Cricetulus griseus: one gene and its partners. The protein of the gene in region 2 purifies or fractionates together with the protein of the main gene of each other region. This does not show direct contact. Links are inferred from orthologs where the notes say so. Each region holds a gene or a part of one and is shown on either strand. Other genes may lie near its edges.

Region 1 (4,043 bases), on a different chromosome or scaffold from region 2:
GGTTGCATGCATACCACCTCCTGTTACCAATTTTTGCCTCAGAAAGGAGCACGCATGTTGTCTCGGTAGGGTGAAAGGGGCAGATGCGTTTTCTCAAGCTCTTAAGGAACATGCCTGATATGTATCAATGTTTTCATCATGTTACCCTAGTCTATGAAAATAGCACGCATCCCCTGTGACTAGCATTTCACAGTTGACAACAGTGTCTGGTCACTGAGAATGATTTAACTTCTACATCTTAAGTTCATTCTGTGGAGGTTATTATGTTATACCTGGGGGTCTCTACCGGTCCAGCTGTCCCAAATTGTGATACAGTGCCTTTCACAGTTACTGTGAATGTCCAACAGCATGCCTAGTTCATTATGACAAATTGGTTATGACTTGTTGGTCTACAGATGAAGTGTTTGATTAGTAAGCAAAGAAGGTAGGGGAGCTGAATGAGATCTAGTAGTAATCATCAAGCAAGTTTAAAACTAGTTTGGGATATGACCTTTATTGAGCTTATCCACCAGAGTGGAAATAATGTCTGTACAAAACCAAATGTTTGTTACTATAACTTCTGCATCACAATTAAAATCCAAACAGTTTTTTAAAAACAGTCAACTCAATCAAAACCCACTACTTCAGAATCAATAGCTTCTTTGAAGCCACAGTAACACTTAAATATGGTTAAGACTCGAATGCAGAAATTTGGTTGGCTGGAAGGCTAATTAAGCCTCCAACTTGCTCAAATAGAATTACAAAAAGGCAAAATTGTGTTTTTCACAGAGATACAGTCCACTGGAATCACCGACACTGGACAGCTGTTAAGAATATTTAGAGTCCTGAGATAATAAGGAATCCAGGCATCCTTAGACAGTCTTCTGTTGTCCTTTCTTTCCAATCAGAGATTTGTGGATGTGTGGGATGACACCTAGGAAAGTGACAAGGATTAATTCTACTTTTTGTAGAAACATTTTGAAACAGTACATGAAATCAAAGCAGGTAAATCTACAACTTGAAAGGTCTTAAAAAAAAATTCAAACATAAAGTAAAATGATGAATGATGTTGTGTAAACCAAATTCCATAAACCACCATGATTTATAAAATATATTTAAATGCCCTCTTCTGGAAGCAATGAAAATGTAGGAATTTTCTTATTGGAAAGTAACCGAGTGTCAGTGATAACATACCACCACCAGCAATTGTAGCCTTGATCAGAGAGTCCAATTCTTCATCCCCGCGAATAGCAAGTTGCAAGTGACGAGGGGTAATACGCTTTACCTTTAAGTCTTTTGATGCATTTCCTGCCAATTCTAGTACCTAAAAGGCAAAATTCTGATCAATTTTCCAATTCCCTTCAGTCAAGATCCAGGAAGCTGGCTAAACGTCAGTGGTGTTTAACCCACCAACTGTCGTCATCCCCCCACTACCTGAATGACAAAACTATGCAAATGATGCAAAGGACTGAAGGGGCACGCAATTGCTTTTGCAACAGCAGCAAACTCTGGCTCAGCGGGATCCTTGGCTGAACACTAGCTCCCTCTAGCGCCCTCTCTCTGCCTAAGCGCCGCGCTTAGGGCCTGGGAGTTTTCTTGCATCACTTTCCTCCTTCCCTCTCGCCCACTTTCCCCCCCCCGCCCCCCAAACCTTTTCCAGATCACAGGCATACTCACTCCCGCTTACCTCTGCGGTGAGGTACTCCAGGATGGCTGCGCTATACACAGCGGCGGTCGCGCCCACACGGCCGTGGCTGGTTGTCCTAGATTTCAGGTGTCGATGAATACGGCCCACAGGGAACTTGATTTTTTTTTATGCACACAAACAAAAATGCACAAAGATAGAGGAGATTCAGAGATGGAAAGATGATGCGCGCGCGCGCCAAAGCCAAGGACGGTGGTGCACCAAGGCGCCCGGGCAGTTAGCACACGCGATCGACGCCCCCCCCACCAGCCCCCGCCGCCCCAACATTCAGTCTCCGAAGGCCAAGTCGCGACACATCACCCACGCAAAAGATGGAACACCCATGCGAGGCGCCGACAAACAAGCCAGGGGGTGCAAAGATAAAGGCCGGGTCACCCGGGCTGCGTCTGCGGCAGCAGCTGCCTACCTGCAAGCCGGCTCTCTGCGAGCGGGAAACCGCCTTTGTCTTGGCCTTTCCGGAGTCCTTTCCAGCCTTACCGCCAGCCTGCGGCGCCGCCGACGCCCGCGAGCCCGGGAGGGACGGAGAGGATAGAATTACCAAGGCGGCGCGGAGCGGCGCGCCCCTCCCCCACGGCCGCGCGTCCCGGAGGCGGGCGAGCGAGCAGGCGGGCGGGCGGGCGGCGGGCGCGCGCTCGCGGCCCGCCGGGGTCTCCGGGCCGCCGCTCGCCCCCGCCCTCTCTCCCCGCCCGCCCGCCGACCCCCGCCGCGCGCCCCGCGCGCGCCCCGCGCCGGCTCCCAGCTGCGCCGCGCGCGCCCCCCTCCAACCGTCGCCTCCCTCCCGGAGCTCCGAGCTCAACCAAACACCTCCCTCCGCTCGTCCCCGACCCGTCTCCGCACGCTCCCGCCCGCCGCCGCCGCCTCGCCCAAGCCCCGGCGACGGCGGCCCCGCCCGCTCCAAGCCCGCAGCTCGCGGCCGCCGCCGCCCCCCGCCCGGCGGCCCGCCGTCACTCTCACGTTACCATCTCGGACCGTGCTGAAGATCGCACAAGCGAGCAAGAGACGAGGCCAGGCGGACGCACAGCGAGATCCCGGCGCCCACTCCTCCGTCGTACCGCGATTCAAACTGCGCCGTCTCCCGCCTTCCTCGCGCCCTTTATACCGCAGAATGTTCCCTCATCCGGGAACTCGGCTGGCTCGGCCCACCAATGGTCGCCGCCCGCCTTCGGGACGCGTCCTTGAGGCTCCGGCCAATGGGAGGGCGCGAAGCAGGGTGGTGGGGCGGGCGCTCGCGAGCTCGAGCCGTGATTGGCGCGCGAGGGGTGGGGAGGGGGAAGAGTGGGGGAGGCGGCGGGACGGGACCGGGAGGGGAAGGGCGCCGCGGCGGGAGGGCAGACACAGAGCCCTGCGCCACCGAGGAGGGAGCGCGGGCGAGCGCGAGAGCGGACGCGGGGTCACGTGCCTGGAGGGCGGGGCTGAGAGGCTGGGGACGGGCGCGCGGGCGTCCTCCCGCGGTGTGCGGGAGACCACGTGAGCTCGCCTCCCGGTCCAGCCTGGGCCTCGCAGCGTCCTCCGGTCGGCCTGGCCGTCCCCCCCCCCTCCCCGCAGACCTCGGTTCCCCGCGGGCCCCTCCTTTGTGACAGGTGGCGCGAAGGCCTCCAGTGAGAGGAGCTCGGCTCGGCCCGCACTTGCTGAAGCACTTCCCTGAGAGACCGTCTCTTACCCCCGCCGGAGGTTGTTTTTCATCTTCCTCCGCTCCGGTCCTCACCTCTTTTGACCGCCCCCCTCACCCTCCCATCCTGTCTCGTAACAACCGTGGGGGTCAAGTTACCTTGGTGATAACAAATAATTTTGTCTACACACAGGAAGCTCAGGATGAAGCGTTATTATAATGAAATCATCAGCCATAATTTTGCCGAGAGAGACTCCACATCAATGGGGATGCGCCTATAGCCTGGTGTCTAAAGTTGATTTATTGAATCATCAAAGCTATTATGTGTCAGCTTTCCGACACTAAACATTTTGCCACATGAAAAATGTTGGGTAAATGTCAGTGGGGTAACTGTAACATGATTCACAAGCAGCCACAGATGGTTCATGTAATCAATTACAAATGCCGGGCTTAAAAAAGAAAAAGTAGGACTGTACGTACACACGGTCCTGTCCTGATGCCAGTCACTTAGACGTGCAGTTAGCAGGTCGACAATCCCTGTGTACATCACTTAGCTGCTTGGAGACCATAATGATCTAAATCTTTCATATTTACAGTACTTAATGTTTAACTCTTTAAATAAGAAAAATTATTGTGTGGGTGGTTGCAGGTGCACATGCCATGAAGACTTTGTGGAAATCAGATGACAACCTGTGGAGTGGGCTCTCCCTCTCTCCACCTGTACATGGGTTGCAGGGATGGAACTCAAGC
Region 2 (3,500 bases):
TTTATGTAATACTTTCGTTCAGAATATAATTTAAAATATTGTTTTTTGTAATATTGGTATTCATGTTCACATACTTGGGATTCTCTTGATTTCAAAGGTGCTGGCTGATGGGTTCCTGATGATTGGGATCGATGGCTCAGAAGCAGCAGATGGATCTGACTGGTTCTGTTATCATGCAACCTCTCCTTCTATTTTCCCTGTGGGTTTCTGTGAAATTAACATGATAGAACTGACTCCACCCAGAGGTATTCCATCCCGGTATAAACACTCAGTTCTTAGTCTTGCTTTGTTTTTGTATGATATCTGCTTACTTTTAGCACAGTGTGTATATTTATACACAGTATGTGTGGGTATGTATAGATAGACTGAAACATGCAAGAGCTATGAGATGCTCTTAAATTGGGCATGGTGGTACATGCTTGAAATCCCAGCACTTGGGAGCAAAGACAGGAGGATCACCCACAAGTTGGAGACCTGCCTTCTGCTCTAATAGTGAGTCCAGGGCAGCTAAGGCTACACAACAAAAACCCTGACTCGTGGTTAATACATTAATTAAAGTAAAAACACAAACATTGTATTCTAGATCATTTTAATGGATTACAGTGGAAGTTTTTCCTGAATCTTTTATTATTTTTTATGTATGGATGTTTTGCCTGTATGTATGTCTGTGTACCACTTGTGTGCTGTGTACCTTCGGAGGCAAGAATAGGGCATCAGATCCCTTGGAAATAAAGTTGCAGACAGTTAGGAGCTATAGGTGCTGGGAACTGAGCCTAGTCTTCTGGAAGAGCAGCCACTGGTCTTACCTACTCAGCCATTTCTTTGCTCCTACGTGAGCACTTTTTAAATGGATACTTGGCCTTCATGGAAATGAAGCTCCTCTCTCGAATGCCATGTAGCTTCTATTTTTGTTTTGTTGAGATGTATTCTTAGCTGATCTGGAACTCACTATATAGACAATGGGCATTCTCCTGCCTCTGCCTCCAGAGTTCTGAGATTAAAGGCATGTATGAGCAAACCTAGCTTTATACCTTTTAAAAGAAAGTATGTCTTGCCTGGTCTCCAGAACAAGTGACAGGATAGGCTCCAAAGCTACACAGAGAACCCCTGTCTCAAAAAAAAAAAAAAAGTATGTCTTTAGCAACTCATGGTTTCACCAGTGACTTTTATTTTGGTTTTTTGTTTGGTTTTTGGTTTTTCGAAACAGGGTTTCTCTGTAACTTTGGAACTTGTCCTAGAAGTCACTTTGTATTTGTAGACCAGGCTGGCCTGGAATTCACAGAGATCCTCCTGTCTCTGCCTCCCAAGTGCTGGGATTAAAGGCGTGCCCCACTACTGCCCGGCTCACCAGTGAATTTTCTAATTTGAGTACCTTTGGCTTGGGTTTTTCTCAAAGTGGTATTAAAGAAAAGGAAGGATTTGTCAAAAGTATTTGCTCAGCCAGTTTAATTTCCTTCACAAAAAGAAAAATAATCCAGAGTATGAAGTGCTAGACTGTTAGTTTTAAAGCCTAGTATTGCAGGGAGGAGTTGTAGCTCTTGGTGGTAGGAGCACCTTGCCCAGGATGCTGAGGCCCTGGATTAGATATACAATGCCACCAAGGGAAAGAAAAAAGCATAAGTCTATCCTTGTAGTAAACAAGTCACTTCTGCACTAGGCTAAGGAGGCAAACCTGTGTCTGCAAAGGAGGACGTCTTCATAATATGGAGCCAGTATGCTCAGTAATGTTAGAACATGAGTTAGAAGTTCTTACCACCAAGTAAAGTGTGTATTCCTTCAATCCCAAACTTGGATATGGAGAAGAAAGGAGAATGAGGTTACCTTCTATTACTACATAGCATGTTTGAAGCTAGCCTGAGCTATTTTGGACCCCAATCTCAAAAATAAAAATACAATTTTTTTAAAAACAGAATAGGCGTGTTGTGTCACACGCCTTTAACCCCAGCACTAAGGAGGTAGAGGCAGGTGGATCTCTGTGAGTTCCAGGCCAGCCTGGTCTACAGAGTTAAGTACTAGGACAGGCTCCAAAGCTTCACAGAAAAACCCTGTCATCAAAAAGAAAAAGAAAAAAACAGTAGAAAGAAATTACATCACCTAAAATCTAAGATTTCATGTGCTGAGTTATTTAAGATTGTGCTAATTTTAAATGAACTGTTAACTAAACCAGTTGTATTTTTTAGGTTACACAAAACTTCCTTTTAAATGGTTTGACTACCTCAGGGAAACCGGCTCCATTGCAGCACCAGTAAAACTATTTAATAAGGTAAATTTGAATGGTGGCATGATCATAACATAAGAATGGAAGTTAGTCGCCAGGCAGTGGTGGCACGCGCCTTTAATCCCAGCACTCGGGAGGCAGAGGCAGGCGGATCTTTGTGAGTTCAAGACCAGCCTGGTCTGCAAGAGCTAATTCCAGGGCAGCCTCCCAAGTTATACAGAGAAACCCTCTCTCGAAAAAAAAAAAAAAAAAAAAAAAAAAAAAAAAAACAAGAGGGGAAGTTTCTCTTGAGCCAAAATTTTTTGCCATATGTTAGAATTTCTTAATGAAGATTAGCAAAAACAATATATGTATTTTCTTTAGGGAAAGAAGAATGTTTATAAATTTTTTTATTAGTATAAGGGAGGTTCTTTGTGCCAAGACTCATGCATAGAGCTCAAAGGACAAATTTTTGGAGTCAAGTCTCTCTTTCACCTTTACATGGATTCTGGGGTCAAATTCAAGTCTCCAGGCTTGTACTTTTGCACACTGAACCATTTTTGTCAACCCTAAACTATTTGATCTTTAACCAGAGTGGAATGAAAGTGAATACTTTTCCTGACTAGTTCTTAAATACCTCCCTATTGCAATATGGTGACTTAGCAAAAGAATTGCTGTGAAGGTTTTTTGGGAAAAGATTTTAGATGTATCATTTGCTGTTCTGGTGATAGCCGACTCTACTCTCCTGAGCATCAGTGTTAATAATTTGTTTCTCTGTGTCAGGATGTTCCAAATCACGGGTTTCGTGTAGGAATGAAATTAGAAGCTGTAGATCTCATGGAGCCACGTTTAATATGTGTAGCCACAGTTACTCGAATTATTCATCGTCTCTTGAGGATACATTTTGATGGATGGGAAGAAGAGTATGATCAATGGGTAGACTGTGAGTCCCCTGACCTCTATCCTGTAGGGTGGTGTCAATTAACTGGATATCAACTACAGCCTCCAGCATCACAGTGTAAGTTGCTAATACAGAAAACATGTACTTTTATAAAAACCAGCTAATTCTTCAGAGGGCTGTCTCATGTAAATCAACTTGTAAGCTCACAGGACAAGAATATATCAATGTTTGATGAGCTGACAGGTAAGATACTAAGACTCAACAATATCACAGAATTAAACGAGGTATGCCATGGTCAGTTATAATAGAGAAAACCAGAAATCACCAAGTAAACTACACCATTATCAAATTGAACATTGCAGTATAAAAATATATCATTCATAAGTGTTGTTGAGTAAATAG
Region 3 (4,261 bases), on a different chromosome or scaffold from region 2:
CAGAATTATAAAAATAAATTATTTACAAAAATCCTAATAAATATAATACCATGATAATTCTGGGTTCTATAACAATCCTAAATATGAAAGAATGGGGATTATAGCAGTAAACTTTTCAACATCAAGAGCAAGGGTTTGAATTCCTGACCATTACCATCAGTGAGACCTTTTAGGTTATCTATAAAACAGAAAACTGTAGTGACTCACAAGGCTGTCATCACTAAGATTAAGAGATAATCATAAACTAGGGAAAACTCAAATGTCTAGTAACAAGTACATATGGAGTATATGTTAACTATAATATTATTCAGCAGTAAAAGGAATACATGGTGTATAAAACAAGAGACAATAATTAATAGTATCATGCTGAGCAAAAGAAGCCATACACACATACTTATCCTCCATTGACACAAAACTTCCAAATGCAATGCCAATCTATAGTGAAAGCAAGTAGATGGTCTCCTGGAATTACAGTCCAGGGATTAGCTACAGAGGACAAGAACATTTTCTGAAGTTGGAAATGTTTCTTATTCTTGGTTGTATACATTTGTGAAACCTCATTAAATCTTTATTGTAAACGGGTAAATCTTCCTGAATTTATGTCTCAGAAAAGTAAATTTTTAAAAAAATTTTATATTAAATATACCTAGAATTCTTGACACGGTATCTGGGATCTAAATATTCCACAAACAGCAATATTAAAAACAATAACTACTACTATACAATATTCATGAAGAAATAGCCAAATAACTAATAAGTTCTTTTTTGGGGTTTACAGTAAAAATAAATTACAGAGTTTTAGACCAAGCACCATGAGGAACACTACTGGGACTGAAACACAGGATGACAACTGTTAAACCTCAACAAACATAAGGAAGAGAAGAAAGCAATGTAAAAACACACGTCCAAAAGAAATGGTTAAGAGAAAGATGTGTCCAGCAAAGACAACACCATGCTACCAAAAGCAGACAACTTCTAAATTACCTTATCAAGACACTGTCAGAAGGTAGTTCAAAATTGAGTCAATGACTATGTAAGCCAATTTCTCAAACACGACTAAGCACTAAATCTTAGGCATAAAAGCTAGGCTTTTTTTTTTTTTAATTGAAGGTTTAAAAAGAGGCCCGATTTTATCTTCTACTGAAAATGTTAAATCAGGTAATCAAACACCAAAGAGAATGTGATTAAGTCAAAGCACCAACACAATGAGGTCAGAATTCAAGCAGCCAATCAAAGGCTTAAATGCATTTCCTGCACTATTAATAGTCAAAAGAGAAAACCAATCGCAGAAACCTCCAGCTTTCTTTTGACAGTCACAGAAGCACGGGAACCAATCCACACACACCCGAGGTTGACAATAAGGCGGGACTGAAGGTTCATTGAAGAAATTCTTCAGGGTGCAGTTACTATGAACTTCGCATGCAAGTAACAACACTCCAGAGTCGTAAACACCGTCAAGTCGGGGGAAATTCAGTCTTAGGTAAAATTTAACCCCTGGAGAGAGGGAAATAGCATTTTTGCCAAAATGTTACTATGCGGTCAAAAATACTAATGTCAATGTGGACGCACTGAGTCTTTCAACTTGGAAATGGCCATCTCGCATGCTACCTCCCCGGGACGGTGCGCTGGGAAGCGCGGGCCTGGTTCCTAGCACTCGGGCTTCTTCCTAACGCCGTGCAACCGAGCAGGGCCAGCCCGGCAGGCTAAATCCGCGCGCGGTGCAGGGGGCTCGCTAACGCGGGGTCCCGCTCGGGAGTCGCTGCCCCGGAGCAGGGCTGCACCGCCTCGTCCCGCCGCACCTCCTCGGGCGGGCAGCGCACACCGTCACCCTGCTAACTCAAACCATCACCCAGCTAGCACGAAGGTGTTTGTTGAGTTTTACTTTTCCTGCATCATCTCAAAGGCACTCGAATGCACGCAAGGATCTTAAAGTGTCACGAAAAGATCGCCTAGCCAAAGGACCTCCACCCCCACCCCGCAACACCGCTCAATTAATCAAGCCCGCGCCGGGGAAACGTCTATTACAAGGTAAACAGAGGCCGTACGCCAAGTGCGGCCCGGCGCATCCCTGCGCCATTCCCGGCCGCTGCTTACGGCAAGGCCCCCTTACGGCAGCGTAAGCGGCGCCGAGAGCTAATCACAACACTGGGACGCAACAACATGGCGGCCGCGGGCGGGCGCTGCGCCGGCCGACAGGTTTACGCTACTCCGCCGGCGTAGGGTCCCGAGCGCGCAGCGGCAGCGGCGCCCTCCAGCGAGCGTAGAGCGCTCTGTGAATGGCGAGGCCCGGCTGACAAAGGGGAGGGGGGAGGAGGGAAGGGGGGGTAATAAACACTCGAGTCCCTACCGATTCCTCCTCCTTCTCCATCCCGGTGGGCATCTGGGGCACGGCCCGGTTGATGGAGACGCAGTCGTTGAGATCAGGCATGTCCTTGCCGCGGTAGATGGGCAGCGGTTTGGCGGCGTCCAGCGCCCGCGCTCGGAAGGAGAGTTTACTCATTGTCTCCCCGCCTTACAGGAACAGCCCGGGCGGCGGCGGCGGGGCGGGCGGGGAGGGGGGGAGCACTCCCGCCGCCTCCTCCACCTCCTTCCTCAGTGCAGCGCGGCCGGCCCGCCCCTCCTCCTCCTCCGCACTGCCCCCGGCCCCGCATGGGCGCCCACCCCGCCCAAAAACAGCCCCCCGCCGCCCGCGGCCGCTTCCACACTCTAGATCCGCCGCTCGCCCGCCCGATCCGCTCCCTGCGCCATGGCCAACATGGCGGACATTACCACAGCGGCGGCGAGCGATCCCGGCAGCCCGCGCGAGAGCGCGCCCCCGCCGCGGGGACGCGCGTCGCCCTCTCCCTCCCTCCCTCCCTCCTTCCTCTCCCTTCCCCTCCCCTGCCTGCCCACCCACTCTCTCCGCTCCGCGGCGCGGCGCGGCGCGGCTCGGCGCGGCTAGCCAGCCGGCGACAGCGAGCTAAGTCCGGGTGCCCGGGTGCCTGTGTGCCGGGCGCTCGGCGGGACGCCGGCGGGGCAGCAGGTGCCAGGTGCGCTCGCCCGGGCGCCAGAGCAGACGCCTCCTCTGCCTCTGCCTCTGCCTCTGCCTCCGCCGCCGAGTCGTTCCGCGCGCAGGGCTCCCTCGGGGAGGCGCGGCGCTCAGGACCGCCCGCCCCAGGGGGCAGGAGGTCGGCCACCCGGGCGACCGGTCGCCACTCGAGCCTGCGCTTAGAAAGCTCTGATCTCCGGAGCGCCTGTTGCCTGGTTCGCGCCCCGGGTTTGCGCATCCCGGGGAGGTACGCAAAGTCCGTGGCGTCTGCCCACGCCGAGAGTCACAGCCCTGCTGCGTCTCGCGCCCTGAAAAATCGGGCAGCCCCGGTCCGAAAGAGCGCCCCAACGTGAGGCACTCCCGCCTGCACCGCCTGCACCGGCAGGATGCTTGTGGTAGCCGTGAGGGCTCCTAGTTTGAGACTGCTGGGCGCAACAAGCGGACTTGCACCTGTCATCCAAACTTCCCTAGTTATTTAGTGGATGGTAGGTAGTTCTCTTGACTTAAAAAAAAAAAAAAAAGCCAGTTCTTAAAGGTTCGATTTGAAATATTTTGCCCAAGCAAATACGTATGTTAAAAAAAAAAATACTGGTTGCTGTGGCAACTCGAAGAGTTTAATAAAGTTCCTGAATCAATTAACTTGCATGTTACGGCTTTACAACTGTTGAATAATTAGCAGTAAGAGTCGTAAATACTTGAAGAAAAGAGCATCTGAAAAGATTATAGTCCAAAAACATATAGACAAATGCTTGGCTACTTGAAGAAAACGATACAAGATGACACGAGAGAGTAATGCAAAGTTAATCACCAAATGACATCTACGGGCAGTTGCTGTGACCTGTCAGAGAAAGGCGACATAGTTTTGGCCAGAAGCAGTAGAGCAGTATCTCTGCCAAAGGAAGAATCAAATTGACTCAATTAGATACAGCTACTGTTGACACAAACCTCTTTGTTGCCTAGTTTTCTTTGTCTTTAACCATTACAGGTTTCTCAGAAAATTCCCACAAAGTGCAACAATTTTACCATTTTGTAATTATTGACAAAATCCCTACCTCGCTCAGAAAAGGGTAGATGGTTTGCTAAAATCTAACTGTAAAAACTAATTTCTCCTATTTTTTGATAAAGCACAACTATCTTCATTGCCACCCACTTATTTTCTATTTTTCTCCCTACCCTTTTCCCTTCTCTGTTTCCCCTTTGTCTCCAACTTTCCCTTTGAAGGTAGTATGGTTG

What was found. The genes of interacting proteins can lie anywhere in the genome.
Region 1: the proteins of Mbtd1 (region 2) and histone H2A.Z purify together in Homo sapiens (affinity purification with mass spectrometry; 3 studies listed by BioGRID and IntAct, with this or other methods). This does not show direct contact. The link is inferred for Cricetulus griseus from reciprocal best matches to the Homo sapiens genes MBTD1 and H2AZ1.
Region 3: the proteins of Mbtd1 (region 2) and Epc2 purify together in Homo sapiens (affinity purification with mass spectrometry; 3 studies listed by BioGRID and IntAct, with this or other methods). This does not show direct contact. The link is inferred for Cricetulus griseus from reciprocal best matches to the Homo sapiens genes MBTD1 and EPC2.

What each region holds. Positions count from the first base shown.
Region 1 is NW_023276806.1:21,775,367-21,779,409, forward strand, and holds histone H2A.Z, read right to left. Parts: upstream 2,801-4,043; 5' UTR 2,647-2,800; coding exon 2,644-2,646; intron 2,169-2,643; coding exon 2,091-2,168; intron 1,781-2,090; coding exon 1,667-1,780; intron 1,304-1,666; coding exon 1,174-1,303; intron 914-1,173; coding exon 852-913; 3' UTR 474-851; downstream 1-473. UniProt on the Homo sapiens protein: Variant histone H2A which replaces conventional H2A in a subset of nucleosomes. Nucleosomes wrap and compact DNA into chromatin, limiting DNA accessibility to the cellular machineries which require DNA as a template.
Region 2 is NC_048600.1:106,843,275-106,846,774, forward strand, and holds part of Mbtd1 (MBT domain-containing protein 1), read left to right. Parts: intron 1-97; coding exon 98-245; intron 246-2,180; coding exon 2,181-2,263; intron 2,264-2,980; coding exon 2,981-3,215; intron 3,216-3,500. UniProt on the Homo sapiens protein: Chromatin reader component of the NuA4 histone acetyltransferase complex, a multiprotein complex involved in transcriptional activation of select genes principally by acetylation of nucleosomal histones H4 and H2A.
Region 3 is NC_048599.1:124,849,023-124,853,283, forward strand, and holds the start of Epc2 (enhancer of polycomb homolog 2), read right to left. Parts: upstream 2,801-4,261; 5' UTR 2,501-2,800; coding exon 2,348-2,500; intron 1-2,347. UniProt on the Homo sapiens protein: May play a role in transcription or DNA repair.